Rhinolophus ferrumequinum: one gene and its partners. The protein of the gene in region 2 interacts with the protein of the main gene of each other region in a pairwise test. Links are inferred from orthologs where the notes say so. Each region holds a gene or a part of one and is shown on either strand. Other genes may lie near its edges. The genes, in order: AKAP12, FHL1 and MYBPC1.

What was found.
Region 1: the proteins of FHL1 (region 2) and AKAP12 interact in binary tests that used the Homo sapiens proteins (3 or more experiments, as listed by UniProt). The link is inferred for Rhinolophus ferrumequinum from reciprocal best matches to the Homo sapiens genes FHL1 and AKAP12.
Region 3: the proteins of FHL1 (region 2) and MYBPC1 interact in a two-hybrid assay, tested with the Homo sapiens proteins (2 studies listed by BioGRID and IntAct). The link is inferred for Rhinolophus ferrumequinum from reciprocal best matches to the Homo sapiens genes FHL1 and MYBPC1.

The regions. Positions count from the first base shown.
Region 1 is NC_046286.1:94,219,681-94,231,154, forward strand, and holds the start of AKAP12 (A-kinase anchor protein 12), read left to right. Parts: upstream 1-7,188; coding exon 7,189-7,353; intron 7,354-11,474. UniProt on the Homo sapiens protein: Anchoring protein that mediates the subcellular compartmentation of protein kinase A (PKA) and protein kinase C (PKC).
Region 2 is NC_046284.1:20,054,321-20,064,862, forward strand, and holds the start of FHL1 (four and a half LIM domains protein 1), read right to left. Parts: upstream 4,875-10,542; 5' UTR 4,744-4,874; coding exon 4,722-4,743; intron 1-4,721.
Region 3 is NC_046293.1:17,655,149-17,665,693, forward strand, and holds the start of MYBPC1 (myosin-binding protein C, slow-type), read right to left. Parts: upstream 4,236-10,545; 5' UTR 4,113-4,235; coding exon 4,088-4,112; intron 1-4,087. UniProt on the Homo sapiens protein: Thick filament-associated protein located in the crossbridge region of vertebrate striated muscle a bands. Slow skeletal protein that binds to both myosin and actin.

The DNA of each region.
Region 1 (11,474 bases), on a different chromosome or scaffold from region 2:
ATTATTATGGAATTATTTTGAAAGACTTTAGCAAGTCAGTTTAAAGGAATGCAAAGAAATGTTAGATCAACTTATCTGTTTTTCTTCCATTTATTCCTAGTTAAGATGTTTATCAGTTCATACTGATTATTTTCATGACTGTAGGCATGAGGGTTTTGGCTGAGGAAATATTTTCTATAGTGATTACATTCTACACGTAGGAGCAAATACTCAGTATTTCACAACCTAATAGTTTTCTTCTCGTGAGTATGATAAGTAATATATAATTGAATATAGATGATTTTATATTTATCTGTAACTGTATACCAAAATACCATCTTCATTGGCATGATTTTAAAAAATGCACTCTTACTATAAGATATTCCTACCTAAAACAAAATTCATTATGCCATGAGGCTTTATGTTGGACCCCTTCCAGGTGGATTGATTTCCTTGGAAGGATCAGATTGAGTATATGTAATGATGATGATTCCAGAACATAGAATTTCCCTCCCCTAATATCATTTAAAAACTGTGCTAAAAGGAAATTACTTTTCTCTCATATCCTTGCTTAGTTGACTGTTAATTCCCATCAGAATCCAGGAAGCAACAGGAAAGTCAATTCAATCGCAAGTCTCCAGAGCTGTGGTTCTCAACCTTGGTTGCACACTTAGCATTAACTAGGGAACGTTTTACAACCCCAGTACCCAGGCTGCACCCTAGACCAATTAAGTCAGACTATCTGGAGTTGGGACACAGGCCTTCAATTTTGTTAAAACTCCCATGTTTTTCTAGTATACAGCCATGTTTGAGAACTGCTGAGGTCTCCTGTGTGGCTTACTTTCTTATGAACCTATCAATGTTACTGTAATTTGTCACTCAATACTGTGAAATACAGTGTACTGGGTTGTCATAACATACTATATAAACTTGTATCTTTCAGGTTAAAACCTGGATATCTTCCTTGGAGAATTAAAAAATTTCTAAATGGTTTTATTCTTTTGGCAAGAATTACATGTGTCTAATGGAGAAAACTTGGGGGGAAAAAACAAGCAACATAATGAAGGGGAAAAAATCATTTTAAATTCTATCATCCAGAAAGAATTACTTTAACATCTAGTCTTTTTCTTAGGCGAATACACACACACACACACACACACACAACAATATATTTTTTTTTCAGCTTTTATCCTTTCAAAGTTGAGATGATATCATAATATAGTTTTATAAGTTATTTTAGACAGCTGATAAATTAATGTAAAAATTAGTATCAAACAGAAACTGTGGCATATTGGCTTGCAATTGTCATAATTTTTATAATTTTACACACCTTAATCTGTGTCATGGATATAAGCAGTTAAAATGTACTTTTTAAAAAGTCATTTTACATTACAATAAAATAACGTTTAAGGCACATGATTATACTTTCCAGGATATTTTCCCCCTAAATGGACAAAATACAGCTGACACCTCCTCTGTCATTTTCAGATTTGGAGTTATGGCCAAAAATGCACCATTCCCAGCCAAACCAGTAATTATTATGTAAAGATAATAAAATTATCATTTTTTTCTAATCCTTCAAGTACTCTGACTAGAATAAGGATATGAACCAGGAAAAATATGTAAGGTGAATGCATACTTATTAAATATAGAATGGAACTGCCTTTCTTTTTAATTCAGACTCAAATGCAGCTGACTTTTTTTCTCTGGATTTCAGTGGAAGGATATATGAATGCATATGTCATGCATATATGCCTAAATTACAGGGGAAAAAATACATATATTCACTATCGAATATTTAGGAAAGTTGATTTAAAAAAAATCAAAACTACCTATTGTTAAATTTGGCAACATTGATGCATCTAGATACAAATAAGCTGAATAAAGAAGCCAAAGAAAAGTATAAAGATGATTCCATTTTATGAATTTCTATAAAATTCTAGAAATACAAACTAATCTACAGTGACAGAAAGCAGATCAGTGATTTCCTGGGCAGGCAGGGTGGGGCCGGGGGGATAAGGGATTGCAAAAGCACACTGGAGAGATTTTTGGGTAAATCATTAAATCCAATCTCTTGATTATGGTGATGATTTCAAGGATGCATACGTTTGTCAAAATTCATCAAATTGTACACTTTAAATGGGTGCAGTTCCTTCTATGCCAATTATACTTCAATAATGCTGTCAACAAATATATTCTAAGGGACTGTTGGCAACCTACAATAATGGAATTTGTTCTGTAAATTTTTGCTTGAAATACTGGATATTGCAATCACTTACTGGATGTTATTTTCACTAACCATCACTTTTACTCAAGAAAACACCTCATAATTTTATACTCTGACATAATCCGTGTTTCCAATTCTTCCATAGAAAGTAAAATTCAAATATTTTACTTATAATTTCTTTCATAGAATTCTCAAGAGCACAATAACACTCAAAACAACATATTCCAATGATTATTTCACTTTTCAAAGTTTTCATTGACTTAGCAGAAGCAGCTGCAGATTTTGGAATCTTTTTCATGTGATTAATTATATTCCCAAAGAAGTAATGAAGTAACATGTTGGGAGGGGGGAAGGTAGGCAAAGTGGATCTAGTGTCACTATTGATTTTCTACCTCTTATTGTGATTTATCACAGCTACTCCTCCTACAGATACTGTATTTGTGGGAAGGATAAGAAGTAGTTTTAAAAACAAAGCAGCTGATAAAATTGAGACAATTCCTTGCGAATACAGAACCAGGGCATTGACTGAGAGCTCTGGAAAATGGGGTACTATTATCAACCTCTCTTGGATATGATTTTAGTGAATCTTCAGGTCAAGCATTGGTCTTTGCATTGGGTTCTTAATCACATGTAAAAAATAACTGAAGGCTTTTTTGATGTCATAGACAACATGTAGCGAATCTGAGATTAAAAATTCATAAAGGGCTTCAAATTAACAGAGGAACATTAAAATCTCTCAATATTTTACAATGTGTGTCTGTATAATGTTTTTTTTGAGTAAGCATGTTGACTTACGAAACCAAAGTTTCCAGCTTTGAAAAGTACCAAGTGTATTAGTTGGCACTTAACTCAGTAAAAGTTCACTGAATTAATATATTAAAATATTTTTTATAAACTATATAAAATATGAATAGTTTCTATATGAATGTTGGATTGTTTGTTGTATACTTACAGGACTCTTTGTAGACTCTGTGAAAGGATTTGAAATGGTGAGGATTACAGTAACTTGATCTGTCCTGGAGTGTAGAAACCTTCCAGATACCTTCAGGTACTCTACAAAAATGTGTACTGAGAAATTCTCTCTCCTCATTAAGCAAATCATTTACTATACCTTGGTTCCAGTCATAAGTGGGTGGAGAACAGCCCAACTCTAGAAAAATGAAGAGCCAAAATAATACTGGCCTATTGGTGACTACATTTCATTTGTTTGTTTATATTTAGACACATCTTGAACAAAGTGGTGGCAGCTATGTCAAATTAGTTCCCTGCAAAGAATTGCTTCTGTCAAGTCTTCTACGGTGGCTGGAAAAATATAAATGAAAAAAATACATATACAAATGAAAGGATTAACTACCCCTGGCCCTCTTTGTTATTTTATCATACATTGACCAGCAGTTAATGGCTGGCTTTATACTTAAGCAATAAATTCCTTAAAAGTTAAAAGAAAAGTACTCGCCTATATATATCATGTATATCTACAGGTGGTTGACCTTTGAACTTCATCTGTATATTGAACTTTTTCTATAGTTTCTATAGGAATGTTGGATTATTAGTTACTCACTAATAAAATTATTAATTCTTCTAGTTTTCTAGTTTGTAATTAGCAAATGCATAAGAAGAGAGTAGGAATGGGTTTTAGATGACTTAGATATCTTGATGTGAGTAATTAATTAAAAAAAAGTAGGCTTTTTATTTAGAAAAAACAAAGAAGTGGTAAGTGGCAGTTTCAAGAGTGAAGAGTTGACAGTTCTAAGTGAAATTGCCTGAAGGCTTTGTAGCTAGAGCATGAATCTATGGGGTAAAGTGTTGGTTTTAAATTCTGTTTTAATAATTGTAATTATTATTGCTCTTTCAGTTGTAAAATGTTTCAAATTTATGAATTCATTTAGAACGTATATTAAAATGTTTTGGTGTATGCACAGGATGTCCAGCTACGACTCTAAATTTTATTGGTAAATCTCGTATGACCCGTCTTTCTAGAGAGTTACATGAGATATACGAGTTCAGCCTGCTGTACGGGCAACGTGTATTTGTTTTGGGAGAAATTACAAACTGTTTTTTATGAGAACATTGACTCTCTCAAGGAAACAACTGTACCACTGACTGCCCCATGGGAGAGGATGTGCAGGGACACCTGCGTCCTGCTGTTTGGAGCAGAAAGAGCTGCTAGTGAGAAATTGGGGTAACTGACAGTCTTAGGTGAAAAAGTCTTAGGGAAAATAGAGAACAGCTGTCTTTCTTCCCATCACTGACACTAATGCTAGCAATTCTGAAGGTGTCTCGAAACCTTGAAAAGAAAACCTTGGTGACTCGATTTAGAGCCTTGAGTGGGAAGCACATTAACTGTGCTTGGCACATAATAGGCACTCAGTAAATATGACTTGAAACTGAGGGAGGCAGGAAGGAAGGGAGGGAGGGAAGAATGGGAAGAAGGAAGGAGAGAGAGAGAGAGAGAGAGACAGAGACAGGAGAGAGACAGAGAGAGAGGAGAGAGAGAAAGGAAGGAAGAAGGAAGGAAGAAGGAAGAGAAAGAAAGAATGAATGAACGAACGAAAGAAAGAAAAAGAGCTTTGTAAAGTTTTGAAGCACTAACTAGCATATCTAAAAGGTTGGAACATCTCATTGCTGGGGATAATAAATAACATAACTCCTCTTCTCAACAAAAATAACTCAAAAGAGTAACTCCCAATCTACAAGTAAGAAGGAAAGGATTGTTTGGTAGTCTAGGAACCAAAGGTAGTTAGTTATGTGTGTGCTTGTGTGAATCAACAAAGGAGCCCGTTATTCTTAGTACCTCCTTATCGTGGGCTGTTTGAAGCAGACAAGGGAGTACTAGAATATGCACATTCCTTAAAATAAGATTTTGCTTTCTAAAAATAAGGACACGAGCATTTTCATAGCCTGAAAAATAAACACAAAGCAAGCAGTTGCTAATCTAAGCAGACACTGGTGATGGCTTCCTTAGCATGTGGGTCATGCTGTCGGCTTGAAATCTTTGACCTTGCAATCTTTTCTGAATATACAAAGGCTGGGAGATGTGTAAAGCTTTGTTAAAAATTTCCCAAGAACCGAATAAATGTAATCTCACAGAATGGGAAATTTTGATAGTATTTGTACTACTTACTGATACATTTTCATAGGTGCTGACGTTCATCATTCTCTAATAGGCTTTAACAGCATTTCTAGCTCTTAACATCCTACCTGAGGTCTAAAGGCAACTTCACTAACATTCCTGAAGCTTCCTACAGAAGAGTGAAGTGTGGTATGGAGGATTCCTTCCATCTGTCAGCTGTGAAACCTTGAGCACCTATTCAATTTCTCTGGGCCTACTTTCTCCCTCTCCATTGGTCAAATTGAGGATAGTAGGATCTCTGTCATAGTGTGGTTGTAAGGATTAAATGTGATTATATATACGAAGTGCTTTGATTAGTGCCTGCTACAGAAAAAGTACTCTAGTTTTCCTAAGTCGTTAAAATTTGAGTTGAAATGGGTGAAATGCTTAAAACTTCTGAAAACCAAGCGTGTTTACAGATATACTACTTCTTAAGGGATAAATTCCAGAGAAAGTGGTACTTATATACTCTTTCAAATAAAAATGACAAATTCAGAAAAATTTTATTCTGGATAACTAACAATTAGGCACAAAATATCCCAGTGCTGAACTACTGTGTCCATCAATCTCTACTAAATTGTATTAAATCTGTTATGGGATATTTATCTGGTGTCAAGTGTCAATATTCCAAAAGTTTCATTTTTTTTAAAAATGATGATTCCAACTATTTGTGAAAATCAAGGCATTTAGTTGCTGGGATAATATTTCTTAACAGCCCCACCACCTTATGCTTATGTGTCAAATAACCCAACTAACATTTTAATTTAGTTCAAACATTTATTAACTTGCCTGCTATATTTATATAACAAATATTATATTCAAGAGTCTTACGGGAAAGAATGCAAGCCGCTTAGGCTGCCATTATTTAGAGTATTTATGGACAAAGATTGATGCAAACGAACAGATCTACGCCATCATGCCCCAGCACGGCGCAGGGAGAAGTGGCCTGGACCGCCTGCATCAGGCCCTCAAAGGAAGACCTGCACATTTCCAGTAACAATCTCATTTCCTCAAATTCCCCAGGGAAAGAAGGCGGTCGGTGTTGTTGATAATATCGCCTGACATCACTTGTTCTGGATGATAGGAGAGCGTGGCCTACCTCATCCGTGGCCTGACGGCATGACCCTCCTGGTTCCCTGCTCCTGCCACGTGAGGTGTCCTAATATGGTCCGACTCTCAAGGAGCCCGGGGGGCTTGCCTTTCTCCTGCTGATGGGGAGGAGGCAGGTACAAACATTTAGTCACACACAATCTGAAGGAAAGCAAATGAGGATTTGGGTTCGCTTCAAGGCGAGTTGCAAGTCAGCTGCGGCAGAAGCTCTTGCCTTGGGGGTATCTATCATTAATAAACCCCAGCGAATCCAATCTCCCAGGCGAATCCAGGCTTTCTGTCCTCCCCCTTTCTCCCTGTCCTCTCACTTTCTGCAGCTCTGGGTCATCCCCCAGCTCTGGTCCCCATTTTTGAACAGGAGGCACCCGGCGGGGGGGGCTGCTCGCCTGGACCTTGGCTTGCGACTCTCGCTGCGCTTTGGGTCCTTGCAGCCTGGGGGGAGATGCTGCTGCAAGGCGTGTCTGGGCTGTGCTCATGTGATGAAGCGAGGGAAAAACAAGGGGGAGGAGGAGGAAGCAAAGAGGTGGCCTTTTTTTTTTTTTTTTTTTTCCCTTTTCTTTTAAGGAGTTTGCCGCGAGCGCGTCTCCTTCATTCGCAGACTGGGCGCGTTGGGAGGAGGAGCGGGAGGAGCGGAGAGGAGCGGGAGAGGAAGGAGCTCTTGGGACCTCCGGGCGCACGGCTTCTTTGGCTCTGTTCCGCGTCCCTGCGATTTGGAGAAGGCGTAACCCGGCGGCTGGGCGCGGGAGATCTCGGAGAAGCCATGGGGGCCGGGAGCTCCACGGAGCAGCGGAGCCCGGAGCAGCCGGAGGCTGGGAGCTCGACGCCGGCCGAACCCCAGCCCAGCGGCGGCGGCCCCGCGGCGGAGGCGGCGCCTGGAGCGCCAGGGGACCCGTCCATCGCTGCCCCGGACCCGCCACCAAGGTACGTGCGCGCCGGGCCACCTGCCCCGGGGAGGCGGGGGAGGGAGGATCCCTCTGATTTCCGCCTGCGAGAACTTCCCCGCCCGTCCAGCCCATCTGCAAACTCGGGAGCAGGAGCCCCTCTTTTCAGGGTTTTTTGCCCCAGGGCGGGACCAGAGCAGCAGTGGACGCGGGGGGAGACTCGCATCTTTGTCGTGGGTCTCCAGGGGAGGCGACTGCGCCATCCGCAGTCAGAGAATCCAGCCCCAGGCGCACTGCTAACCGAGCCTTTCTCCACTGTTCCGGTGGGAGCGACCCAGCCCGAGACGCACGGGCTACGTGGGGGAGTCCGTGGAGAATTGACTCCCAGGCCCAGCGTCTTGAGCTCCCGGCCCCCCTTTCTCCACGATGAGGACAGCCAGCTGCTGGGCCATGACCCGTGTTGCAGCCTGGCGAACGGGCCACCCATGGGTTCCCCGCCGCGTACGGTCCTTACTAGCTGTTCATGGAGAGACCGGGGTTTGGTACCCAGTCCTGCGGCTGCGGCTGGAGCAGACACCGCCTTCTTAATGCAGAGAAAGCCTGGAGGTAGCTCGCTCTGAGCCAAAGAAAACCTGGGCAGACGCTGCATTTCCAAAAGGAATGACAGGTTTCGCAAACAAGGCAGCGTCTTTTTCGCTCTGTGCATTGCTTGTGGGCTCCTTTGGATAAACAAATGCTGGAGGAGTAGTTAGAAGTTCTCAAAGGAAGCGGTCTGGCATAAGCGAGCATTCCCTGTACGCTTGTCAGTGGAGGCAGTGCTGAGCCTCCTAGCAAATCTGTCGATTTTATAGTCTTAAGTCTTCAAGGCTGAAATATTTATTCTTGGCCACTACAGCCGTCAAGTTTGTTCCTTGTTCCCGTCTTTGTATTTTAGATCTGTTTTCCACCACGTGTGTTCATTAGCAAGGTTTCACCCTACCTGTGTTGTGACATCCTTATAGGAAGATGTGGGTAACCATACTTAATGCTTAAAAAACCCCCACAATACACAACAACCATGTGTCGAATTTGAGGATACAGATTAAATGAGGACCTTTAAGAGTTATCTCAGGAGGCATAGATGTTTTGTACTTAGAGGTAAATCTGTTCAATGTTTTTATGAGGGAAAAAACAGGCTGAAATCCAGGTAAATTTCACAGAACTATGACCTCATTGCCTTGACCTCTTTAGTTGTCCTAGTCTAGTTTAGGCTGAGACTGTCCTTCATAACTAGATTACCTCCAGTCCTTAATTTACAACTACTTGTAAAATCTATGGTCCCCAGAGCTGTGGATACTGACAAGCACTTACTGCCTGGTACACTAGATTTTCTAAGCGGTGCCTAAGGCTTGGGCCTAAGGAATGTATTATCCTTTTGAGGTCTGAGTCACCTTTTAATACTTACTGTAAATCACTTTTTGATACCAACTACGGTCAAAATGGCTGCATAACCAGTACTTAGAGTCCAGCAATGACAGTAATTTTAAGGTATAATGGATAAAAGCTTGCATTCAGGTTCATTTTTTTCCTTGGCTTTACTACTCCTCAGGTCTTCTTATTAACAGTTCACCCTGCCATATGGTACTAATTCCCTTCCCAATAAACTCACATTTGTTCATTTAAAACTATTCATTCCATTCTCTTATTCTTTTCTTGGTATATCCTTTCATAAATTTATCCTTCTTCCTTCCTTTTCCTAGTTACCACCATCTTGAAACAGCCAAACCACCTCCTTGAAACAATTACTTAAATGACATCCAGAATGATCACTGAACATTTTGGCATTCAGCCTAGTTATCAATTTGGAGGCAATCAATACACTTATATGTATCCTTGGAAAATGTGTAGCTTTTCATTTCAATTTGCAAAATGTATTATTTAGGTTTTGAAGACCTGAGTCTTTTCAAAGGGACTCCCCAAATTAGAATGACTCAGCACAGGACTGTTTCCTCCCCTCCGTGCCCTGACTCAGCATAGGACTCTTTCCTCCCCTCATTTCCCTGTTCAACTCCACTTCCTGACCTCTGAGGAATCCCATCTGCCATCTAGGCTCCCAAGGCACCATAGACCCTCCTTCCCAGCAGTCTCCACATTTGTGGGTTTAGTGACTTGACTAATAAGTGCTTTCTTGGCTACTCTGAATGTTCTACGAGGTAGGGACCATATCTGTTTTGCTTATAGTAGGTGTTCCCCCAAGTGTGACATGCTGCCTGGCACGGAGAAGGTTCTCAGGAAGGGACGCCACTGACTCCCAGGTTTTGATTGGAGACTATCAAGTTGGGGATACTTTGGCCCATCTAATTTTTCTACATTTAATCTTTGACCTTCTCATGATCCATCTCATGTATCACAGACAGTGACTAAGTTAAGTCAGTCTGTTCGCTTATTATTAGAATGAGAGAATATTTTGGCCAAAAAACCCAGATTTGGGGACTTTTTCAGTTCTCAGCTTCTCTAGAAAGAGTGGCATGTTAATCTTACAATTTCAAATTGCCTTTAATTTCAAATAGACCAAATATATTAGCCACAAGTCTGCAAGTGGCTCAAAGGACCACGCCAATGCATTGGATAAGTTATGAATTACATCTTGAACTTTCTTGGTTGGTCTATGGGCATAGGGAGGTTTAGACTAATACATCATTCCCTAACTCCCATTAAATGCCGATCATTAACTAAAAGCTGTTAGTAGACTTTTTTCCCATCTAAATGATATTTGATCATATGCATACCTACTTAGCAATCCAGTTTACTTTCCTTTTTTCTGCTAATTTTAGTTACCAGTTACTCACTAAGTGCTCACAAGTCAAAGGTATTGCACTAATTGAGTTATTGTTACTCCTACTGGTCAAAATTGATTATTCAAGTCTAACATTTAGATGCAGTGAGGCAGAAGTTTTTGGTTTTTTTTATCTGTAGTGTTTTTCAGTAAAATAGAGTCTTCCAGTCAATCTTTTACAATCGTAGTATGTAAATTCTGGGAGAAAATGGCTGATCAATTATTTGTAGATTTAGTTTGAGATTTGGGCCATCTCGGCTACTTGCAGGGGCAGGAATTAGATACCTACCACCATAGGTGGTTAAAAAAAAAAAGAAGCCTGTGTATTAATCCTCAATCGTCTGTTTCAAAATTCGTCTTCCAAGAATATTTCAATCAGGTGGCAATATAGGGTGAGGTGACCAATGACAAATTTACTTCATGCTCTGGCAAATCTTGATTTCTGGAGCCAAGCGCCACCAAACCTAAGTCTGGACAATCATAATCCTCGAATTAGCTTTCTGCATTCTCTGCTCAATGACCTCAGAGCTGGAAATGGAACAGTAGTCAGTTGCAACAGCGTGTGGCCAACGTCCCTGCAGGTGGCAGGGGGGAGATGAAGGTTCCTGTCAGTCTTTCAAGCTGTGGTTCCATTTGGTTACAAGAGCTGAATCACCAAACACACAAAAATGTACTCAAATAGAAGAATCCATTAGCTGATTGGTAGACTGAAGGATGTCTTGGCCCTTCATGCATTAAAACAGACAATTGAGTTGACCAGATGCATTTCATAATTCCTCTACTGGGCCTAAGGCAGTGTACTTTCTCTCACCTGCCTTCTGTTTATAGAATGGAAGTTGAGACTGAAGATGGCCTTAAAATGATTATGTCTACATATAATTTTATACTAAAAACGCCGGAATTTAGGATGATGAGAATTATGTTTGTTAATGGAGTGGTGTTTTTATGTGTGTGGCTACCTGTATTCCTATGGATTTTCCCCAGATTACAAGAGGTGCTACTTTCTGATTGGAACACAGTCCAAAATTTGGAGATGTGGGTATAAGGATGGTCATTTAGGATAGCCATAGCCTGGGGACGGCAGGACCTTCTCTGGAATCTGTGATGGCCTTTTAGGCTTGTAGATACACGATATCAGTGGAGATTTCCACTTGAAATGCATCCTTCTATGAGGCACAGGTCTCATGTGCATCCTTTTGAATTCACTTTGGGTCAACTAAGCTCTGTGCCTGGATAGCTTTAAACTGATGTTATAGGATTATTCTAGATTGGTATCTTAGAAGACAATTCATAAATGCGAATGTTTTTGTTTCACAAGATACTATAAATTTTTTTTTCTTTCCTTCATCA
Region 2 (10,542 bases):
GCCAAGTTCTTCGTTGGTTACTTTCATAGTTCTAGAACATGATGCACTCAGGGTTTCTAGGCATCCATATGGTGAAATAATCCATGGCTCAACAATGGACATGGAAGTACCAAAGTGTGTTGAATATGGAGTCAGTCAATGGAGTTGCTCACCACTTTATCATTCCTATAGTGCAGCGTCTTAAACGAAGCAATAGGAAAATTAAATGAATCCAACCCAAGTTAATGGCACCTCTATGGAGAGTCCAACCTCTTGGGGTTTGGGGGTCCTGGCTGAAGGCATTATTATTTTTCTCTTTCTGCAGTGTGAAAAATCCAGTCATCTTATATTCTCCACCACTGTATACTTAAACCCAAAGAGTCTGTGTCCAGGTGGAGAGACAGATTTCCAAGGGCATCCTTTTAGAACTGATTTCCACTGTGGACTCGAATCTTTCTCATGTGTATGGAAACGCTTATTTGTCAAGACAAAATAGGCACTTCTAGGAATACTGGCTTTATTGCCTAATAAGTAAACAGGCTGGAAATACTTAAAGCATGTTAACAATGTCGATGACAAATTCATGAACTCTAGTACTCTTTTGCAATAAATCCAATTAAGTGGAACTTGGGGCAACCCGAATCAGCTTACCTCGTGTTTTTCTAACCTTATGATTATTTGATCCCAAACTATTCTGAACCGCCACGCACTGTGCTTAGGAGGAAGCTGGAGTAATACATTCCTGCTGACAAGATAGTTATCATGTCAAAACTTTGCATAAAATATGGATGATGTGTACAAGAGCAAAATATTTTGTTACTACTCATCTTCAGAGAGGTTAACCATGCTAAGTTAACAGCTTATAAATGACAACGCTGAGGTTCCAAAGAGAACAGATACCCTGATTTGTGGGCTCCACCAGAATGAGCCATAGTTAAGCTCTGACTTCAAGAGGAGAGAAAAGCTTTGCACTTTCCTTTCTTTCCCTTTGTTGGAAATAAGAGAATAGAGAATGACGATGGCATTTACCTCTTCTTTGGGGCTTTCTTTCATCTTACTGAATGACATATACTTAGGTGTTTATGTCTTAGGGAATAATTTTTACCCCCTTAGCAATTTCTAAGTAGATGAAATCCGAAGCTTGTAACCTTCCAAAACTTGCAGATCTGTCTGCCTTGACCTATTGCTGTTATCTGGGGAAGGACATGTCGTCAATCACTAAAGGCAACCTGGGTACATATAATTACCGTGCCGCTTCCCTTCCCACCCATCGCTGTCCAAGCCATGTTTTCCCTAAAGTAGCTCTTCGACTAATTGTAACCTCACAGTGTGGCCCTCATCTGTACGTAGTACAGAGGTTTCTCTGTCACAGAAAAGTTTGCCAGTACACTAGGAGCCCCCGGGACCTAATCCAGGGCCTTGCATACAGGAGTCACACAGTACATGCCTGTTGATTGACCGATGGAAGTACGTCACCACCAGTAACCTTCTAAAATTTCTTTTATTAAAAGCCTTTTATAACAAAGATTCCTGTTTTAGAAAAGTAGGGAACATCTCCTGTGACCTTAAGGGGCTGACATCTAACCAGCTGTTCTGCATAGACTTAGTAGGTCAGAATGCAGTTGGAAATGTGACTCAGTGATCAAATTTTAGATATTTATTCCAAGATGGTAGCCTGACTTTCTTGCCATGCCTGCTTCAAAAGACACATCACTCTTCATTTAATAAAGAAGCTTCTTCTTTCAGAAAATCCCTGAACTACATCCAACATGCTATAAGGTGCCTACATAAACCTCAGTATCTCAATAAAAAGTTTTCGCTTTTGATTTAATCATGTATATATACGAGTAATATAACATCGCAGCCTTTTTTTTTTACGATCAACCTCTCATTAGAGAAGATTCAATTTGTATTTGATAATCTTGCTTGTATTTCTATGTGTATTTTCTCATGTATTTCTTGCTAACATTCATTTTTCGCCTCGTGCCTCAGGAAAAAGTGAGTATTATGACTAGGTAGCATTTTTCTAACTATGTACTTTCCCTGAATGGTATATATAACGTACATTGTAAACAATGAACAGCAACCCAAATGGAAAAAAAAATTCAGGTTATTTCTGATCTGTTCATTGCTAAGTCCAACATACCAGTCTGTTAGTCACTCCGTGTATAAATATTGGCTTCTAAAGAAAGGGTATATTGCTTTCCTGCAATATACAACAAATGGAACATTCAACAAATGGAATGGAGCCTTAGCCGATGAATAGGACACTTGTGTAACAGTTATGCTCGCGCACCTGGAGGTGTCGTCAGACATTTGGGAATAAATACCTAAATAGTTGCCATGAGACAGAGTTCATGAGTCATGGCTGAAAAGTAGTCTTTCATTGAATTTCCTAGAAAATCAGAAAGTGTTTTTTTCCCTTAAAAATAGAACATGTACAGAATGATTCAATGTTATTAGCAATATCACTTGTATGCGGCCTTTAGGGAAAAAAACCATATAAATCTCTTGTGGATCATTGATAGACAGGTAACACAGTTTACATTATACCTGGTATCAGGAGGGTTGGATAGAGATTATTAAAGAAAAACTTATGTGTCACTGAACTTCCACTGGGCCAGATTCTATTCTAGTGCTGTTTTGTGCATAGTAAAAGCTTTCCTTAATATTATGTGCAGCATGTTCCATCTTCCATATAGGAAAACAGCGCTTCCAACCCGGCAGCAATAAAACCTGTGTTTTCAGTTTCTCTAATTGTGATGAAGTACCATAGTAGGTGGTCGTTTGGTGGCCTGAAACTAAAATTTAAAAAAAGTACAAAATGTTCAGTTTCATCCTCCACCAAATCATCTGACTACTATTTTTCAGTTATTTTAAGAAGCCAATCCAGTTTGATTACGCCCTCTCACCCCACCGTTTCATTTTCCATGGCACCCTAAAAAAAGACTGTCGGGCGTGTGTAAACCCACTGGGCAATGGCAGGTGAAGGGAATCAATGGCTGAATAACATGGCAAGTGATCTTCCCTCCCACCGCACCCCCACACCGGACCTCAACTTGAAGGGGAAAAAAACATATGAAGGGTAAAGGATTTGCGTATACACAATTTTGCAGACTGCAAAGTGTTCAGTAACAAAAGTACAATTTCTTGTACTTGAAATGTCCTCTCAGTACATGGATGGTCACTGAAATTGGATTCTGATCCAATTCTGTCCATACAAAGGCAATTTGGGGGCAATGTGGATTTTCTTTCTGTGAGGAAAGAAAATTCTGTGAGGATTTTCTTTGTCTTTCATCTGCTTCCATGGATCTATGAACCTAATGCAATACAAAACAATAGTTCCCAATTTAAAAACTCATCTAAAAGGTGTCAATTAATTTGTCTAATTTAGTCACAGTTGTAGCCTCCAGATTTATATTAATATAAGCAAGAATAATGTCAGGATTTGGTACAATTTAAAACCCAAGGTTGGGTGTGCTGTAATTATCTTTTAAGTATATCATTTTCCTATTCTGTCACTTAGTAAGTAAAATGGGGAGTTCCTTTACCAGTTAACATGCGTTCAAGGTCCATTGGAACAACTAGTATAGCTGAATAGTTTACCTATACCCAGAGAATGTGTATGTTGGCCGATTACCACAATCTCGGGCATGTGGTACCATGTTGGTTAAGTGGCTCCTGGGAAACAGAGACAGTGCTTGAACACTTGGGAACAAGGAAGACCATTGCATTGAGGCAGCGAATTACATTGCAGCATATTTGTTTAAAACACGCAAGGAGAACATTTCCGAAAGTATTCCCATTGTTTAAGTATCGGCAGGCAATTGTTAAGTTTCAAAAATAATTTTTCCAAAAGACTGCCACTAATAATTATTTTGTCTCTTAATCTAAAAGGTAGGCAACAGGACCAAGTGCCCGGCTTCTAAGAAAGGGGACCGTTACTTAGGCAGAGGGCAAAGAGCAACAGCAGCATTCCTGGCTTCGGAGGAGAGACTGGCAGCATACTGACTTGAGAGAACCGGGCTTTCCGGGGAGACTGCCTGACCTTCAGTCCTCTGACCCCTATTCCGCAGTGTCTTGTCCACAGCCAAAGGGCTTGCTTAATGTCAGTTTACAAAACAAGAGGAAGGCTCTTATGGTAATGACAGTCCAGAGGTTCCGAAAATTTGCCCCTTTTCCTGATAAGAACAATTAATAACCCAAGTGTCATATCAAAAGGATCACAGTTGTTTTTTCAGGAAGACTGAAAAGGTTATTCAGAGAAAGGGGAGATATATAGTAAGTCATTACGGACTGTCTTAGTTATAAATATTCCTTCTTCCAGCTCCATATTTGATGGACCTTTTCTAAACACCTTAAGTTCGATTTAAAGCACTGTCAAGAAAATATTTGTTATCTTATAAATAACCAAAGAAAACCAGAAGTTTCTAACCAAAGAAAACCTCTTTCCTCACACAACCTCTTACAGTTTCATAAGCTGTCCTAAAAAATGTACAATACAGTAAAAGGCTTACATACTTTTTAAAAATAAGCCACTCGAACTGCTAATTTTTCTTGAATAAGAATAACCTTTTATCTTTGAAACAGCATTAAAGGGGCAGAACAGAGATGAGCTGTCTTATTACCTATTTAGACAAGACTAAAATCATTTCATCAAAAAGTATCTTTTAGGCAAATGATGGATTCAGTGCCCTAACAAACTTGTGCTCAATAGAAGATAAAGAATACGAAGCTTTTACCTGAGTGTCTATGGGAAGCCATGGCTCAGAGACCAAGTTCAGGAGCAGCACCTAGACCAGTCCTCCCTCGACCCCACCTGAGAAGGCTGTGGCTCATTTGTGAACATACATTTAAGGGGAAGCAGCTAACACAAAAATAACCGAGAGCAGATGGCCCACCCCTCCCCAGAGATCACAACCTTAATCCCACTAGAAAATTCTTAACCATTTTAGGTGATCCAAGGGAGAAGAATAGGACCCAGTAAAAATACCAAACACTACATATAAATACCTGTGGTGCTACTCAGCATCCAAATTAGCTCCAGAGCCAGAGAGGCCACATAGAAAGTTATCCCTGTACCGGAATAAAATTTGGACTCAGCTCTAGCATAGCTTAACGCTGAGCCACCCTTGTTAACTCACTTTATATGCCTAAAGAGCTTGCATTTGGCCCTATGAAGAATTCATTTTTGTGCCATTAATGATAAAAGTAACTGTAAGAGAAAGCCTTATGTTACCAGTATAATCAAAAGGGATTAGACACTATGAATATGGAGATCAAGGGCATTATGTATGTCCTCCTTGGTATGTACCACAGATCAGCAGAATTACTGAAAAGAGCAATTCTAGCCACATATCTCCTTAGTGCTGGACAGAGCAGGACAGGACACAGACATACATGCCTATAACCGCTATGTAGACAAGGAAGAGACTTTGTCCCACAAACGAAATCTCTTCTCACCGTCAGGGGCAATAAAAGTAAAAATATGGGGCGGCTGGTTGGCACTGTGGTTACAGCGCAGTGCTCATAACACCAGGGTCGCCGGTTCGATTCCCCCATGGGCCAGTGAGCTGCGCCCTCCACAACTAGATTGAAAACAACAACTTGACATGGAGCTGATGGGTCCTGGAAAAACACACTGTTCCCCCATATTCCCCAGTAAAAAAAAAAAAAAAAAAAAGTAAAAATATGGACGAAAATGAAGATGGTCACGTATCATGCTGTAGCAGCTCAACAGGCTGCCCGATGCCTGGAGACTGCTCATCAGGAAGAAGCTCTAGGAAAAGCCAAGGTCCTCAAGATGGCCTCTAAACCCCCTGCCTGTTCATTCTCTAGCCTCATCCCTGCCCCAATTACCCTCGCTCCCTTCATCTCCAGCCTCACTGGCATTTGCACTGTCCCTTGCACCCTTCAGACACACCCCACCTCAGGGCCCCAACACTGATTCCCTCAGCACCGAGCCTCTTGATTGCACCTCTACTTCCTTCAAGGCTTTACTCCAAGTCACTTTTTCAGTGATATCTTCTTTGACCACCCTATTTAAAATTGCAACCATGCTCCCCATGCCCCACACTCCCTAGCCCCTGCCCCAATTTGATCCCCACAGTAACTATTTGTTGGAAAAAAATGAATTAAAAGAAGCAAAAAGGCTTAATCAAACCTCATATAAAACCAAAACACAGTCCCACCTGGAACCCTAAAAGTGACTTTGGTCATTGAACTTCAAGGAAGGCATCCGACTTTCACTCCGGGACAGGCGCTGGGCTCAGTACCTTATAGACACTGCCTTGTCTAGTGCATGTCACTGGTTTTGGCCCTATTCACACATCTCTTTTACCAGGCTGAGGGCCGGGAACATGCTTTACTTGTTTTGCTATTCCCAACAGATAGCAGGTAAGCAATACATGCTTCATGGATAAATGAATGAATGAGTTTCGCAACTTTTACGCTTTTCAAATGTTTAGAAAAGCTATTCTAAAAGACAGATGAAATTGTAACTCCTAGTTTGCTGGAAAAATGACACAACAATAGAAGCCAGGATGTTAACAGGTTTATGACATGATAACGTCCAAAAAAATAAGCCTGGGAAAAAAGGGAAGTGACACTGCACTCCTGCACGCCTCTCTAGCCTTTCTTATCCAGCCTGATTATATTATGGCAGGGAGATTGGCCAGTCTGAACAATACTACACCCCTAAAATAAACTTAAACTTTCACCACAAGGAAATGCTAATTTATTTGATGATCAACCTTTATGAACCCCAAATTTTAGATTTTAGTGAGGTGTATTTCTAGGTAGAGCCAAAGCATTTTTTAAAAACGCCTCTTGTAGTGCTGTGAACAATAAACTTAGATTGCCAAGTGCTTTCCTCAAGGAAGTCAATTCTAGTTTCAAGCCATGTATCAGGAGGTGTTTTGTTTTTTAAATTAAAGTTTATTGGGGTGACAACGGTTAATAAAGTTACCTAGATTTCAGGTGTACAATTCTGCATTACATCCTCTATAAATCCCATTGTGTGTTCACCATCCAGAGTCAGTTCACCTTCCATCACCATATATTTGATCCCATTCTTTTACCAAGTTCCATTAGCCATCTGATCATTTTGAAAAGCAACAACGGAATATGGACAGACTGATAGCCTTATGAAGTTAGCAAATAAACATAAATCTATTTTGCCTGAAACGCAAGAACAAGAGAATTACTCCTGACCATTAATTAATTAGTCGGCTACAAGCCAGCGTGAGCTGGGAGCTTGGCCCTACAACAGCATTTATTCCATCTGCAATTTACTTCAACCAGGTTAACTCTGCCTTCCTATAAACTTCATGAAGCATGACCACTGCCTGCTCTGACATTTGTCCCCATGCCCATGTCAAGTGACAAAACCACAATTTTCACAAAACCCAAACAGAACGGGCTCTTTGTTAGGTGAAACACAATTTCTCAGTAAGAATCGCTGGTAATTTTATCCTGCCTTGGATCAGTGGTTCAGAAACCTTGACGGTTATTTAGCACACACCCAAACAATCAGTGGTTTCATTAGCGTCTGAGCCAACTTCATTACATATTAACAGTATGATGTTAATAATATCCTTAATAATCCTGTACTGTTTACAAAGCGCCTTTATATACTGTTGGTGGAGCTGGCTGGTGTTTGATTAACAAATCTCTTTAGTGTCTGAAGGCCACATTTCAGACCTTTTAGTCTTTCACACTCCAGTGTACATCAGGATGATTTTTCAGCGAGCTAGGCATCACAAGTCCTAAGCTCCCTCTTGCATGTGGTCCTCTGGGAGCCATTTACTTGTCTTCCACCTACTCAGATTCTTGTCTTCCACGTACTCAGCAGTTACATTTTAACCTACCCACGGGCCCCACTTGTAGATGATACCACCCCATCTATTCATTTATTTTGGAGGACGAACACTTATTAAAGAGATGTCCTACTATGTGGTGTAGAATATTTTGCTGCTCACAAAGAGTAAGATACAGTCCTTCCTTCCAAGTGTATCAAGATCAATATACAAATGACTGTCACGCAAAACATAGCATGGTGAGTATTACAAGAGATATAAAGTGGTATAGATTTATCACAGGCAGCGATTGTATTAGGTTTGGAGAGATCAGAGAAGACTTGATGAATGTGATACTATTTGACCTGGTCCCTGAAAAATGGGTAAGGCCTTAGCACAAGGAGAAGAGGAGAGGGAATTCCAACAAAAGGCACAGTATGAACAAAAATACGAGAACACAGGGCCTGCTCCCGAAGCAGGATGCAGCCCAGTGCGGGCAGGAGCACAGGATACATCTGCAGTGGCACATCAAGCTAGAAAGAAACGGAAAGCCAGAGCTCGGAGGGTCTTTTTGCAATTGGTGCAAGAGAAGGGTGAGATCAGGGAAATATGAGCAGTGACAAGAAGAGTCAGTCTTAGGGAACGAAGTCTGGAAGCAGGGAAAGTCTAGAAGGGTATTGCTGTTGTCCAGATGAGACATAAGGGGAAACTGAATGAGAGCAACAATGGCAACAGGCATGAAAGGGAAAGGAGATGGAAGGCGCACCACGGGGCAGGGCTCAAAAGGACTGGTTAGATGTGTTGGAGGAGAAGGAGCTGGCAATCCTTCCGATGTGGTGATTCTGGGTGATCAGGAAATAATGGGGAATTTGGGAGGCACCACTGGTGTGGGGAAGAGTGGCGCTTTACTTGGAGCTTTACAGTGAGGTTCTTCTGAGATGTCAATAACTAACCCCCTTTAATGGGATCCAGTTGTCAAGTCGAGAAAGAACTAGGGCTAACAGTGCAGTTACGATGGAATCACGTTTATGGGAATTCTCACCCTGCAATCTAATCCCAGACTCTACCTCAGAAACACCGCTGGGAGGATCAAACTTCCAAAGTTCAAAGTGGTGCAACCTAAGAGTCAAACACGGCAAATTCAGTGACCTAGTTGGCCTACACCTCGGGAGTTCCTGGTTCACAGCTTGGCTTGTGGTCGCCCTTTTCCCTTTACTATATTTTTTCTTTTACTGAAGAAATTTCCAAATAGTTGAAAAGTTATTCAGACATTTACTGGCCATTAGTCATGGCCAGAGGCAAGAGGCTTATGACAATCTGGAATGGAGCCTTTGTGGATTTATCAGAGGTCTGATGTTTTTTTTTGTTTGTTTTTTTTTTAGCTTCTTCTTTTCTCCACATGCCTACTACTAATAATTAACACACTGCAAGTTTTTTCTCAGTATAACTTTCTCAGGCTACTAGTCCCTCCGCCAACAATTTTACTGAGTGACTCCAACTGCAATCTTAAGGCATCCAGTCATGCACTATGATATGATGGGATTCGATGTTGAGCTCTCCCGAGTATTTCTTGTCCTATGAGTTCTTGCCAGAAAAAGGACAGTACAGCTTCAGCCATCTCATGTTCCTGTCAATCTTTAGGGTGGGAAGAGTACTTTTCCTTACTGACAAGTCAAATCTTGCAAAGTCACTGCTTAAATGTCACACAATTTCAGGGCATACCCGTCTGAGTAAAACAAGGGAGCCCCCGTCCCAGAACCACCTGAGGGGCAATTTCAGCATCCAAGATCCAAATGGAAGCAAAGCTGGGAATTCTTCCTCCCCAAAGGGTCTCTATGAGTTTCAGAGCAAACGAAAGGGAGGCTACGAAGGGGAAGACCTGCTACAAATGAGGTAAGATGCATGAAACTGAGGACCCTGTAAATAGCAAAGCACCTGGGAAATGCTAATTCCCTCCAGAGAAGACCTGTTCATTTCACAATTAACCAGGGCTTAGAAGGTTTCCTTGCAATCTTCACTCAGAGATTAAGAATTTAAACATATGCCATGGCCTCTGCCATTTGATTTTTGGAAATGTCATCCCATGATTCGTAACAGTTTTAAATGTCTCTTGTCCCCAAAGTCAGCCCCTTCTTACACTGCTACAAGACTCTCACCAAGATGTATGAACTATCCCAACCACGTCCTATAGATATTTTGATGGGCCTCTAACAAGAAATCACCATCAAGTCAACAATGAACAGATGACTTTCACAGCAAGCCACTATGATGATCTCAGATTTTTTTAAAAAAAATTGAAGTGGCATTTAAAAGAGAAAAAAAATGATAGAAGAATTAGAAAGAGTTTTAGAAGAAAATACATAATACAAATACAGAATCTCAGATCAAGGGAAAATGAATGCATCATGAAACTGAGAAGGTGGTAGGGATAAATCTTTGTCATATTTTAGGTGTTAAACTTCTCTTCCATTCTATTTCTACCACCTACTTGTGACATATCTGTTTTATTTCCATGTTGCCATGTGCCATGATTCAAAACACCCTTTCAATCATGTTAAGTCCTGGCAGTCACCAAGCCCAGCTGTTAGGGACATTTCAAGCCTCTGATAGATGCTTGAGGGCTAAACATGCCATGACCCTAGTGTCTAATCTACCCAGCTGATTAATATCCATCACAGGGAAAACCCAGCAAATCAAATAAGCTAGTTATTTGTTCTTAAAACTGCTAATGGAGATTGACTGCCTTAACCAGAGATGTTATCACAAT
Region 3 (10,545 bases), on a different chromosome or scaffold from region 2:
TTGCTCTTGATAGAATAACATCCCCCCTCTTCGACCATTCTTTCCCTTACTTCCTGCAAATTAACTTTTTCCCCAGTTGAGGGAAAGGTACTATTTTGCATTTAAGATGACTTTGCTAAAGGCAAATTTATTTTGGTGTCTGGAATAGGTCATCAAGTCTCATGCAGGTAGAAGCTGAAGGTCAAGGAGTAAATTTGAGAGGGAGGTTTTCCATCACCAGGGTTCCTTTTCTGACGATGATTAAGCCTTGAGCCATGCTGAGAAATGGGCAAGAGGTAATGAACGCTGCTCTTCTTTCAGATACTAGGTTTGGGGCTCAGCAGAACTTGAAAATGTGATGAAATCTCTAGGGACCAAGAAAGAAAGATATAGCAAAGGAAACGCTGTTGTGGACTGAAAAAAAGTTATTCTCCATTACCATGTTCCCACCTATTTCTACTGAAAAAAGGCTGAGATAGATTAGATAGATAGATATTGCATGCTAATATAGCAAAAGAATCTGTAGCAACAATGTCATGCCTTTGATTCCGGGAGTTATCAGAATGGCCTCTTAAAATTATGGTCATAAATGAAGTCATGTTTTACCGTATGTTTGAGTTTTTAGGAAGAGATTTCACATGGAAGATGAGGAAACGGCAGTGATTTCCCAAGGTTTTTTGAATGGTACACAAGCACCAAGGAAGACCTTTGCCTTTTTCCTGCAAGTTAAGTGCATAAAATATGAAAGAGCCTGATATATCAGACAAAGTGAAATTTGTATTGAGGCCTCAACTTGGTGTTTTAGAAGAGAATTTTTCTAGGTCCTGTAGATTTTGACAGTTAACAATTGTCTAAGTATATTAGAGAACCAGTCGCTATGGTTTTAATTATCAGAAACTACAGAGATAAAATTCTAGGAATCATTTTTATGGGTTTAAGAGTAATTCATAGTATTTTTAAACTATTAGAGATGCTACCACCAAAGAAAGTCTATTGGAATTTTCTAATTTCATGTTGATAAAATTGCTTTTTGACAGGAAAAGAGAAGTTTCCAGTGAAAGGTGATTTTTAAATTTTTATTTATTTTTATTTTTTTATTTTTTTTTTATACCATAGGACCCGGGCAATTAACTGTGAGAGCTTATGGAACAGAGACCCTGTTGAATATATCTTTAAAATCCCAGCAACTAGCCTCTGGTAAGTATTCAATCACGGATAACATAAATAAATGTATCCAAAGCATTCTGGTAGATTCCCACAAATCTCAAGCTTTTTTTCCACTTCCTCTCTCACTATTAGAATAGAATAACTTAACGTTATTAGGCTTCAAGTTCTGCATGCATTCAAAGTGCAAGACAGGTCTCTTATCTAGAACTGATAGTACAAATAATATAGTTCACTAAGGAATAAATACACAATGAACAAAGGTGGAGAGGAGAGTATTGAGAAGTGGTTGTTCCTTAGAAATAATGCTTTCTTCCTCCAAAAGGGGTTACAGAGTCATCCAGAATACTTTCCAGGGTCTAAATAAGGATCATTGACTAATTACTTCCATTAAGAGTTCCTCCTTGAGGCCCAAAATTACATCTGTCCTTCCTCCTCCTGAGAAGGACCAGCTCTCCCACGACCCAACATGAAGTTCCCACAATTAGGCCACTGGAGGTTGAGAGACAGTTGAAAGATACATCATTTGCAACTTCAGGTGCTGAAAACTCAACCTCATTCAAAGAGTTGCCAGGTCCTCCTGGATCCTAAGAGGGCCAAATCAGCCCATGTATTCTATCAAGATTCATAGCAAGAACATTCGTAGCATGTCCTTCCTAGGCATGCTTCTCTCCCCTGGGGAAGAGATGTTAAAAAAACCTATAGGGGCGGGAAGAAACTGTCACTTGGGAATGCTTCTGGGGATACTTTAAAATGACAGAAGAAATGGTTTGGTGGCAAGTTTTATTCTTGAAGCTGTCTTTCAGAGGGATGTTTATATGGCACAAAACCAACCCCAGTAAAAAATGAAATCAGTGAGGAGAAGGTGCAAGGACCAGAACAGTTCCTAAAATTGCCATAGTCCTTCCTCTTCTGATGTTAGCAATATTAAAAAGCAGTGATTTCACCAGGAAAACTCTTCAAGGAGCAGTGTCCTTAAGAATCAGTTCTGCTGGCAAGGAAAACAAACAAACAAAAAATCCCTGTACTTCCTCAAAGGATTTTAAATATATCAGTAACACTCTTTTTATCTCCACTCCCCACCACCCAAATTTAAACCGACCAAAGAATCTGTGCGTATAAAATTACTGTCCTGGGTGGGGGAACTCCTACACAGAATATCACATCAACAGTGCTTTTATAGCAAGAGAATATCATGAGGACTTTGGTATCTGTGTTAATTTATTTAAAAAATATTTTGGGGGGATGGCAGGAGCTGAAGTTAAAGATATGTTTTCCTCTTTGTAGCTCAAAAATGTCATTGTCTTTAAAAGTAGAATGTATCAGATGGAGTTGTCAGACTCAGATAAAGGAAAACTTTATGCATGTAGCAATCAGAGTAATTTAATTAGCTCTATAGGTTCTACGGTCTGTCATCTTTATTAGTTTTTCAGCTTTCTTGTCATTTTCAAGTGGGCTTTAAAATAACACATGCAAATTCATCCCCTAAATGCAGGATAATTAAAACAATATTCTGTCCTCAGTCAGGAAACATAGAATGCATTTCATCCAAATAAGCCTTGAAGAGGCTAGTCAAGTGACAGATCAAATAAAAAGGACACTTAATACACATGTAAATCATTTGCATTACAAATAAGACACTTTAGCAGGGGTTGGACTCACTGCCTGATAGTCAGGATTAAGTTCCCATATTAATGCATGCATTTGGTGTGGTTATTTCGGGTGGAAGACTTCATCCATCAATGCCCTCCACTACTAAGTAAAGCCAACCTGTAAACTGATCACCACAGCCTGTCAACACTGGTTACTTAATTACATAAAGAAAATATATTTCAAAGACTTTTGATAATTTGGTTAGTATTTCAACTTTCAGTTCAACATCTAGCATCTTTTTAAGGTTCTTCAAACTAATGGCTAAAAGTAGTATTAAGAATTAAAAATGAAAAAACAAAATACTATTCTTTTGTTCCCTGCTAATCTTTTTCTTTGGCTTTTATTTGCAGAAGTGAAAAATAAAGATTCAATAAGCACTCAGGAAGACTAATATGTATGTTAATAGATGTTTCCATTAAAAATTAAACTAAATGTACTTGTACTATTAATTTATGTTTTTCATTAGTCATTTTAGTAACTTCTAACTCCAATTTATTTATGTTAATTAGTAGTTTTAAAATCTTGATTTTTTTAATAGAAAGAAGAAATGTTTCTTCTAATGAAGAATGTTTTCATATTTTCAGTTTAATTATTTTTTTAAAGGCGACATATTATGAAATTATCTACAATAATACTCATTAAAGAACATAATCCATCAATGATACTCAAAGTTATTCTCTTTTACCCAGGTGTTTGATTTTCTTTCCATGCAAGAATTTAATAATGTAATAAAGCTCCAAAGGCACTGATAAAAGCAAAAAAAAAAAAAAAAAAAAGCCTACATCTGTATATTCTAAATGTCTTTCCATGAAAAAAATAGCAAATCTGGAAACAATACCACAAATTCTTTTTGGAAATTTTGATCAAATTTATAAACCATGTAAGAAAGCATTCCAAGCTACTAACACTCCACAAACTGCAAATACAGGGTGAGAAGTTTGTGATTGAAACTTAGAAAATACACTTGAAAACGCAACCTGCTCACCACGAGCAATTAACATCCTTAAATTACACTTTCAGGATCCCTTACTACAATCGAATGATAAAATCATAATTAAAAATTTTAGTCAATATCCCTTCATAAACTATCATTGTCAGATATTTTTCAATTGGTTGTACTTTCTTATATTTTTCTTCTGATCTTTTTACTCTCTGGAATCTTTTCCTGAAGTCACAGTAATTCTATTATTATATAGTCTATTTAAGAAACTGGATATTTGTTTGAAAATAAATACCAAAATAAGCACACTGTATTAAAATTACAACAAAAAGATTTATGGATGAGTCTTACCCTCTTTCTTAGTGGGTTCTGGCATGACCACAATAAAAGGTTATTCACCAAAGAGTTTGCTCCCCTCCAGTACTAGTTGACAGAAACCCCCGAGCAGTTGAGAGATGGTGCAGGTCAGTGTGACAAGCAGTTGGGGAGAAATCCAATGCTTTTGTACTGCCTCTGAACATCAATCATGTTGGCACCGCCCCTTCTTTAGCCCAAGGATGCTGGAACTTGACAGCTATGAGGACCTTTCCCACATCTGTTGTCTGCACTCTGCTCTCTCGCCTACTGGAAGGAATCTCCTGTCCATCTCATGTGGCTGATGAGAACACCTCTAACTTTCTAAATTCAGCTGCAGCCGCATGCTCCTTCTTACCCTTTTTTTTTCCTGTCTAATGGAGGCATGTGTCGACTGAAGCGTGCAAAATTTTGCCAGATGACAGAAAATTAAACTAAATTTAAAAATTGTAGTATGCTAATTCAGCATATACATTAATTTTTATTAAGATATAAAGGGAAATCTCTGTTATCAAGATGATAATTTTATGCTCTCATTAGTTTCTTATTTTTGTGAGCTCTTAATTATTGGATTTAAATTTATCTTATTTTTATTAATATATTAATATCAATTTGAAAAGCCAAATTTCCATGTTGACTATCTTCTCTCATTTTCTCTTCTAAGAATAGCAAACGTTTCTATTAAGGAACATTTAGACTTTACCTTTTCTCAAGGAACAACCTTTAAAAATTCACATGGCATATAAAAGAATGAAGTAATGATACGTGCTACAACATGAATGAAGCTTGAGTACATTATACTAAGTGAAAGAAACCCAACACAAAATACTACATATTGTACAATTACATTTATATGAAATGCCCAGGATAAACAAATCCATAAATTCAGATAGTCGATTACTAGTTACCGGAGCTGGGAGGAGATGGAATTGCAAGTGACTGCTAATGAATATGGAGTTTCTTTTGGGGTGAATGATGGAAATATTCTGGAATTAGATAGTGGTGATGGTTGTACAACTTTGTGAGTATGTTAAAAACCACTGACTTATACACTTAAAAGTCTATGGGGGATGGGCAAAGAAAGTTAGACCAGTAGCCATTGTTTTGTTTCAAGATGGCAGACAACAAATCTAATTTAAGATATTGGCAGACTGTATCATATTGGACCACTTTCTCCCAAAACTCTCATGGCACTGATGGAGAACTATGAACTACCAAGTGGTCAAACTAAAAAAGACACCTTACTTTCTTTGTCCACATGGATGAGATACCTCAGAGACTGGGACCAAAATTAGTTTATGCGAAAAGACGACTCCTTGAGTGCCTTCATTGATATGTGTTTTCAAGATCATTCTCAAGAGACTTTGATTGATTTGTACTGAACCAGCCACACTGTCTCGTTTAATTTCCCTTGTGGCTGAGAGCACAGCTGGTCACACTTAGCTCTACCAAACTCTGTGCCAAGCTAACTTTTCATATAAAGATGGAAACTCAACTTAGAACTCAATAGCATCACGCTTTAGCTATGTGGGGGGAGGGGGAGGAGAGACAGTCAAGGAGGTTCATGAACATCTGTCTACAAAGCAAGCCTTTTCTCCACCACATGGGGCCACGATCCCATTGCTTTGCTTTTTAAAATACTTCTTGGCTCTTAGATGTTGAACATCAGCCAGAAAACAACATATTCTGTAATACAAAGCTAGATGTGCTTTGAAAGAATGAAAAACAAACTTTTTTTATTTTTTCTGCATCTACCATGAGAGAATCAATAGGAGAGACAAAGTAAAGAAACTAGAATCTGAAGTCAGACCCTTGGGTTCTGTTTTTGGATCATCACAGAGCTGAGTTAGTCTAAGAAAGACAAGTGGCCTTTCTGAGCCTCAGTTTCCTTTTGTATAAATTGAGAGGTTTAACAAAATGGCCTCTGATGCCCCTTCTAGGTTTAACTTTGTGATTTGATACTGGTGCTCCCTAAAAAAGAATCATTTCCCCCTCAGCATTCTCAGCACACTGAACACCACATATGAAATTGACAGAGGGACAAAGTGTCACATTGCAGAAGAATGTTTCTAGTGATGGGCAGATTTCACACATGCCACAAAAGAGGGGCCATGCCATCACTGGCTTCTGCAGAAACTCTGTTGGATTTTTAATACACTGGTCATTTTACTGAAGTGAATAAGTGCCAGGAAATATTGCAGCCCATGGAGAAAATATTTTATGACCTGGGGAACTATTTGATAATAAAAGACTTGATTGTAAAAAGACAAAACCTAATTGGAAGAATCCAAAGTCTGAACAAATTCTATGATATATGATTGTAGAGTGTGTTAGATGGTTAACTCAAAATTTTAAATTAAAATAATAAGTAGACATGTAATTTTCCTAGGATTGTTTTGTTTTAGGAACACATAATCCCTATATCAGATCTAGAAGGTTGCAGATTCTTTTTTATTTATTTATTTTTATTTTATTTTATTTTATTTTAAATTAAAGTTTATTGGGGTGACAACTGTTAGTAAAGTTACATAGATTTCAGGTGTACAATTCTGTGTTACATCATCTATAAATCACACTGTGTGTTCACCACCCAGAGTCAGTTCTCCTTCCATCACCATATATTTGACAGATTCTTTATCCTCAATATCACTCTCAGGCAGTGGGGAAAATGGTCAACATGACTCTTTTTTCTTTTGTTAAATGCTTTATTGGTTTTTTTCCCCTTTGCGTCATTTAGGATTAGATTTGGCTGAATATTGCACGAACCCACAAAATAACAATAGTTAAATCAAGGCAGAAGTATTTCTTGTTCACATAAAGGAAGTCCAAAAGTAACCAGTTTGGAGTCATTATAGTGGCTCTGCAGTATCATCAGAAATCTAGGCTCTTTCTTTCTGCCCTACCTTCCTCCAGGTAACTTCATGGTCGAAAATGGCTGCTAGCACTCAAATCATTACATCCACATTCCCAGCAGCAGAAAAATGTTTTTAAAAAGGACTCACTTTCTCCATTTTAGAAAGACTTCTTTGAAGTCCCATACAAAACATCTAGTACATTCCACTGAACTTGATTACATGGCCATATCTGGCTATAAACGGAACTGAAAAATGTAGTCTTTCGTTCTCAGTGGCAATAGGCTTCTGTTACTAAATAAGAGAATGAGGAGAATGGTGTTGGATTGGTAGATATCAATCTCTGCCACATCTTTCAAAATAAAAGCAATAATGTTCTCTGTACCAACCAAAGAATGCAGAAAAGTATAAATAATAAACCTCATTCTCTCTCCAATGTTTCCTTATTCCAAGGTGTGAATTAGGGTCTAAATTTCTTCTGTGCTCATATATACACGTACTCATATGTAGGGAGTTCTTCATCTATTTTTATTTACATTAATCTTTAACTTGATTTTTCTATTTAACATGTCATAGACATCCCTCCATGTTAATACATATACTGGGGGTGCCAAAATAATGTATACAAATGGACACTTTAGTCAACATTGCTCTCTCTCTCTCTTTCTATACACACACACACACACACACACACACACACACATCTTTTTAACAGATGAATAATAATTGTTCATGGTAGGGATGTGTGCCGTATAGTCTTAATTGCTTTCCTTTTAATGGGTAGAATGGTTGTTTTCAGTGTTTTCTCACCACAATTAACACTGTAATAAATATAATACATTATAACCTTACAGACATTTTAAAATTAGATATATATAGATATATACAGATATTTTTAAATTAGTAGGCTAGATTGTTAAAATTGAGCTTTCTGGTATACGTACCTGGTTTAAATCTAAATAGATTTTTGCTAGATTATGTTCCCAAAAGTTTGCCTATTCAACAGGTCAACCAGCAACATATAAGATTACTTGTTTTCTCATACCCTAGATGTTATAATTAAAAAAAAAAACAAAAAGTTGTGAACTTAATGGGTTAGAAATGATAGCTCATTATTTGAGTTTCCATTTTTCCAAAGGTTAAGCAATATTTCATGTTTTTTGGTGACTTGTCATTTTTTTCTCTGAGTTGCTTTATTCAAATACTTTACTTTTTATTAGTGATATTAGCTCTGTATATATTTCAAATAATTTTTTCTCTCTTTCTTTTGCATTTTGCTTTTATGATTTTTTTGCTATAAAATAACTACATTTTTAAAATTTATTCAAATCTGTCACCTTTTCTTCTATGGCTTCTGGATTTTCTTACTTTAGAAAAGTCTCTTCACCCAGTGTTATTCAAATACTCTCATAAATTTTTTTCAAATACTTTAAAATCCTTAAATATGTTTATTGTGTGAATTAAGGTGTCTAAATTTGTTTATTCTCCACCCCCCCGCCACTCCCCAGCTTAACAGGGAGTCATGCCAGCACCATTTCACTGTTATTTTACCACTGATTTGAAATGTAAACTAGAGTTTATGTTACATTCCCATGTAAACTAGAATCTATTTATAGACGCAGTGTTCATTTTTTACTCATCAATGTATTTATTCTTTAGCCAATGTCTTCCTATTTGCATTCATTAGCTTTACATTAAGTTTTAGTATCTGATAAGGCAAGATCTCCTCTGTGGTCTAATTTTTCAAAATTTTCTTTGCAATTCTCCATTTATGTTCTTCCTTATAAACTTTAAATTCATTTTGCCAGTTCCTGTCACCTTCTTCCAACATAAAAGATACTCTAATCAAAATAGTATAAAGTTGTTATATATTAATTCATGAATCATTGTCATCTGAATATTAATCCTTCTCACCTAGAAATATTGTATGTATCCCAAGTCAGATATCATTTTATAGTTATTAATAAAACTTTATAATTTTTCCTATTAAAATTCTATACCATACATGTTAAATTTATGTCTATGCATTTTATAGTTTTTGTTACAATTTTAAATGGAATTTCTTCCATTTCCATTTCTTACTGGCTATTGAGAGTATGAAGAAAAGCTATGAAGTTATTTTTATAATTATTTTGTATCCAGCCATTGAAATTACTTTTTAGTTCAAATAGGATTTTTAAGGTCACTAGGATTTACTTACTATGTAATTATATAATTACATGCTATGCAAAAATGATAATCTTGTCTTTTTATTTCCAATATTTATTGAATTAATTTTATTTTATTATTACATTAGCTAGAAGCCCAAATATAATGTGATAATAGTGTGGAGAGTAGGTCTTCTTCTCTTGTTCTTGATTTTCGTAGAAATGGATCTAGCATTTAAAATTTAATATGATATTTGTTATTAATTTGCAATAAATAGCCTATCATTTTAGGTTGTTTCCTTTTATTTATACTTATTTGTTTATTAATAATGGCTATTGAATTTTATCAATAGCCATTACTGATTGAATTTATTTGTGATTATTTGTTTTTCTTCTTTGATTTGTTTATAAAAATGTTACAGTATTTTGAAAAATTGCCAAATGTTGGACAATCCTTGCCTTCCTAGCAATAATCCTGTTTCATTGTGGTGTATTATTTTATTGATAAAATTTTGGATTTGCTAATATTTTATTTTAGATATTTTTGCATTTATATGTTGGTGAAATTATTCTATAAATTCTTGTCTGTGCTATCTTTATCATGTAAGTTATGTTACCATCATAAAATTGGTTATAGATACTTGCATCTTTTTCTAATATTTAATATAGTTTGAGTAACATAGGAAAATGTGTTCTTTGAAGATAGGTAACACTTGGTTATAAAACCATCTGGTCCGATCCATTTTTAAATAGTAAATCTTTACAAATGCTTCCAATTTCTTCTTTAAATTGAGATGCTCAGTATTTACACTTCTTTTTAAATTAACTTAGAAAATTATTTCTTCTAGATTTAGTAAGAATATTCAAAATACAAGCAATAATGTTCTCTGTACCAACCAAAGAATGCAGAAAAGGGTTTTATTTTAATTTGTAGTGTTTGCTATGTTTGTGATTTTTATGCCTCATTTTCAGTTCTAACAAAATTTTTATTTTCTCTCTTTCCCTTAATATGTTTTTGCAGAGTATAACTACTTTTATTGGTGCTTTGAAAGAACCAGTTTGTAGTTTTATTTTCTTTTCTTCTCGTAACTTCTTTAGGTCAAATCTGTTGTTGTTTTTCCTTTTCTATGTGGAGGATTTAATTTAGAGTTTATTTTCAGCCTGGGACTATAGCTGTATCACATAAGTTTTTAACTTAATGTACCGGTATTTTTACTAATTTTTGAATAATTTTCAGTTTTGGTTTTAATTTGCTCATTGATTCAGGAGTTATTTAAAAGGGATTTCTTAATTTCTATGAAATTAAGATTTTCTTGTTATTGTTTTCTTTTTTTAATTAATTTTTAGTGATGTGAAATTTACATCACCTAAAATTAACCATTTTAAAGTGAACAATCCAGTGGCATTTAGTAAATTCAGAGATTGTATAATCACCACTTCTATCTAATGCCAAAAC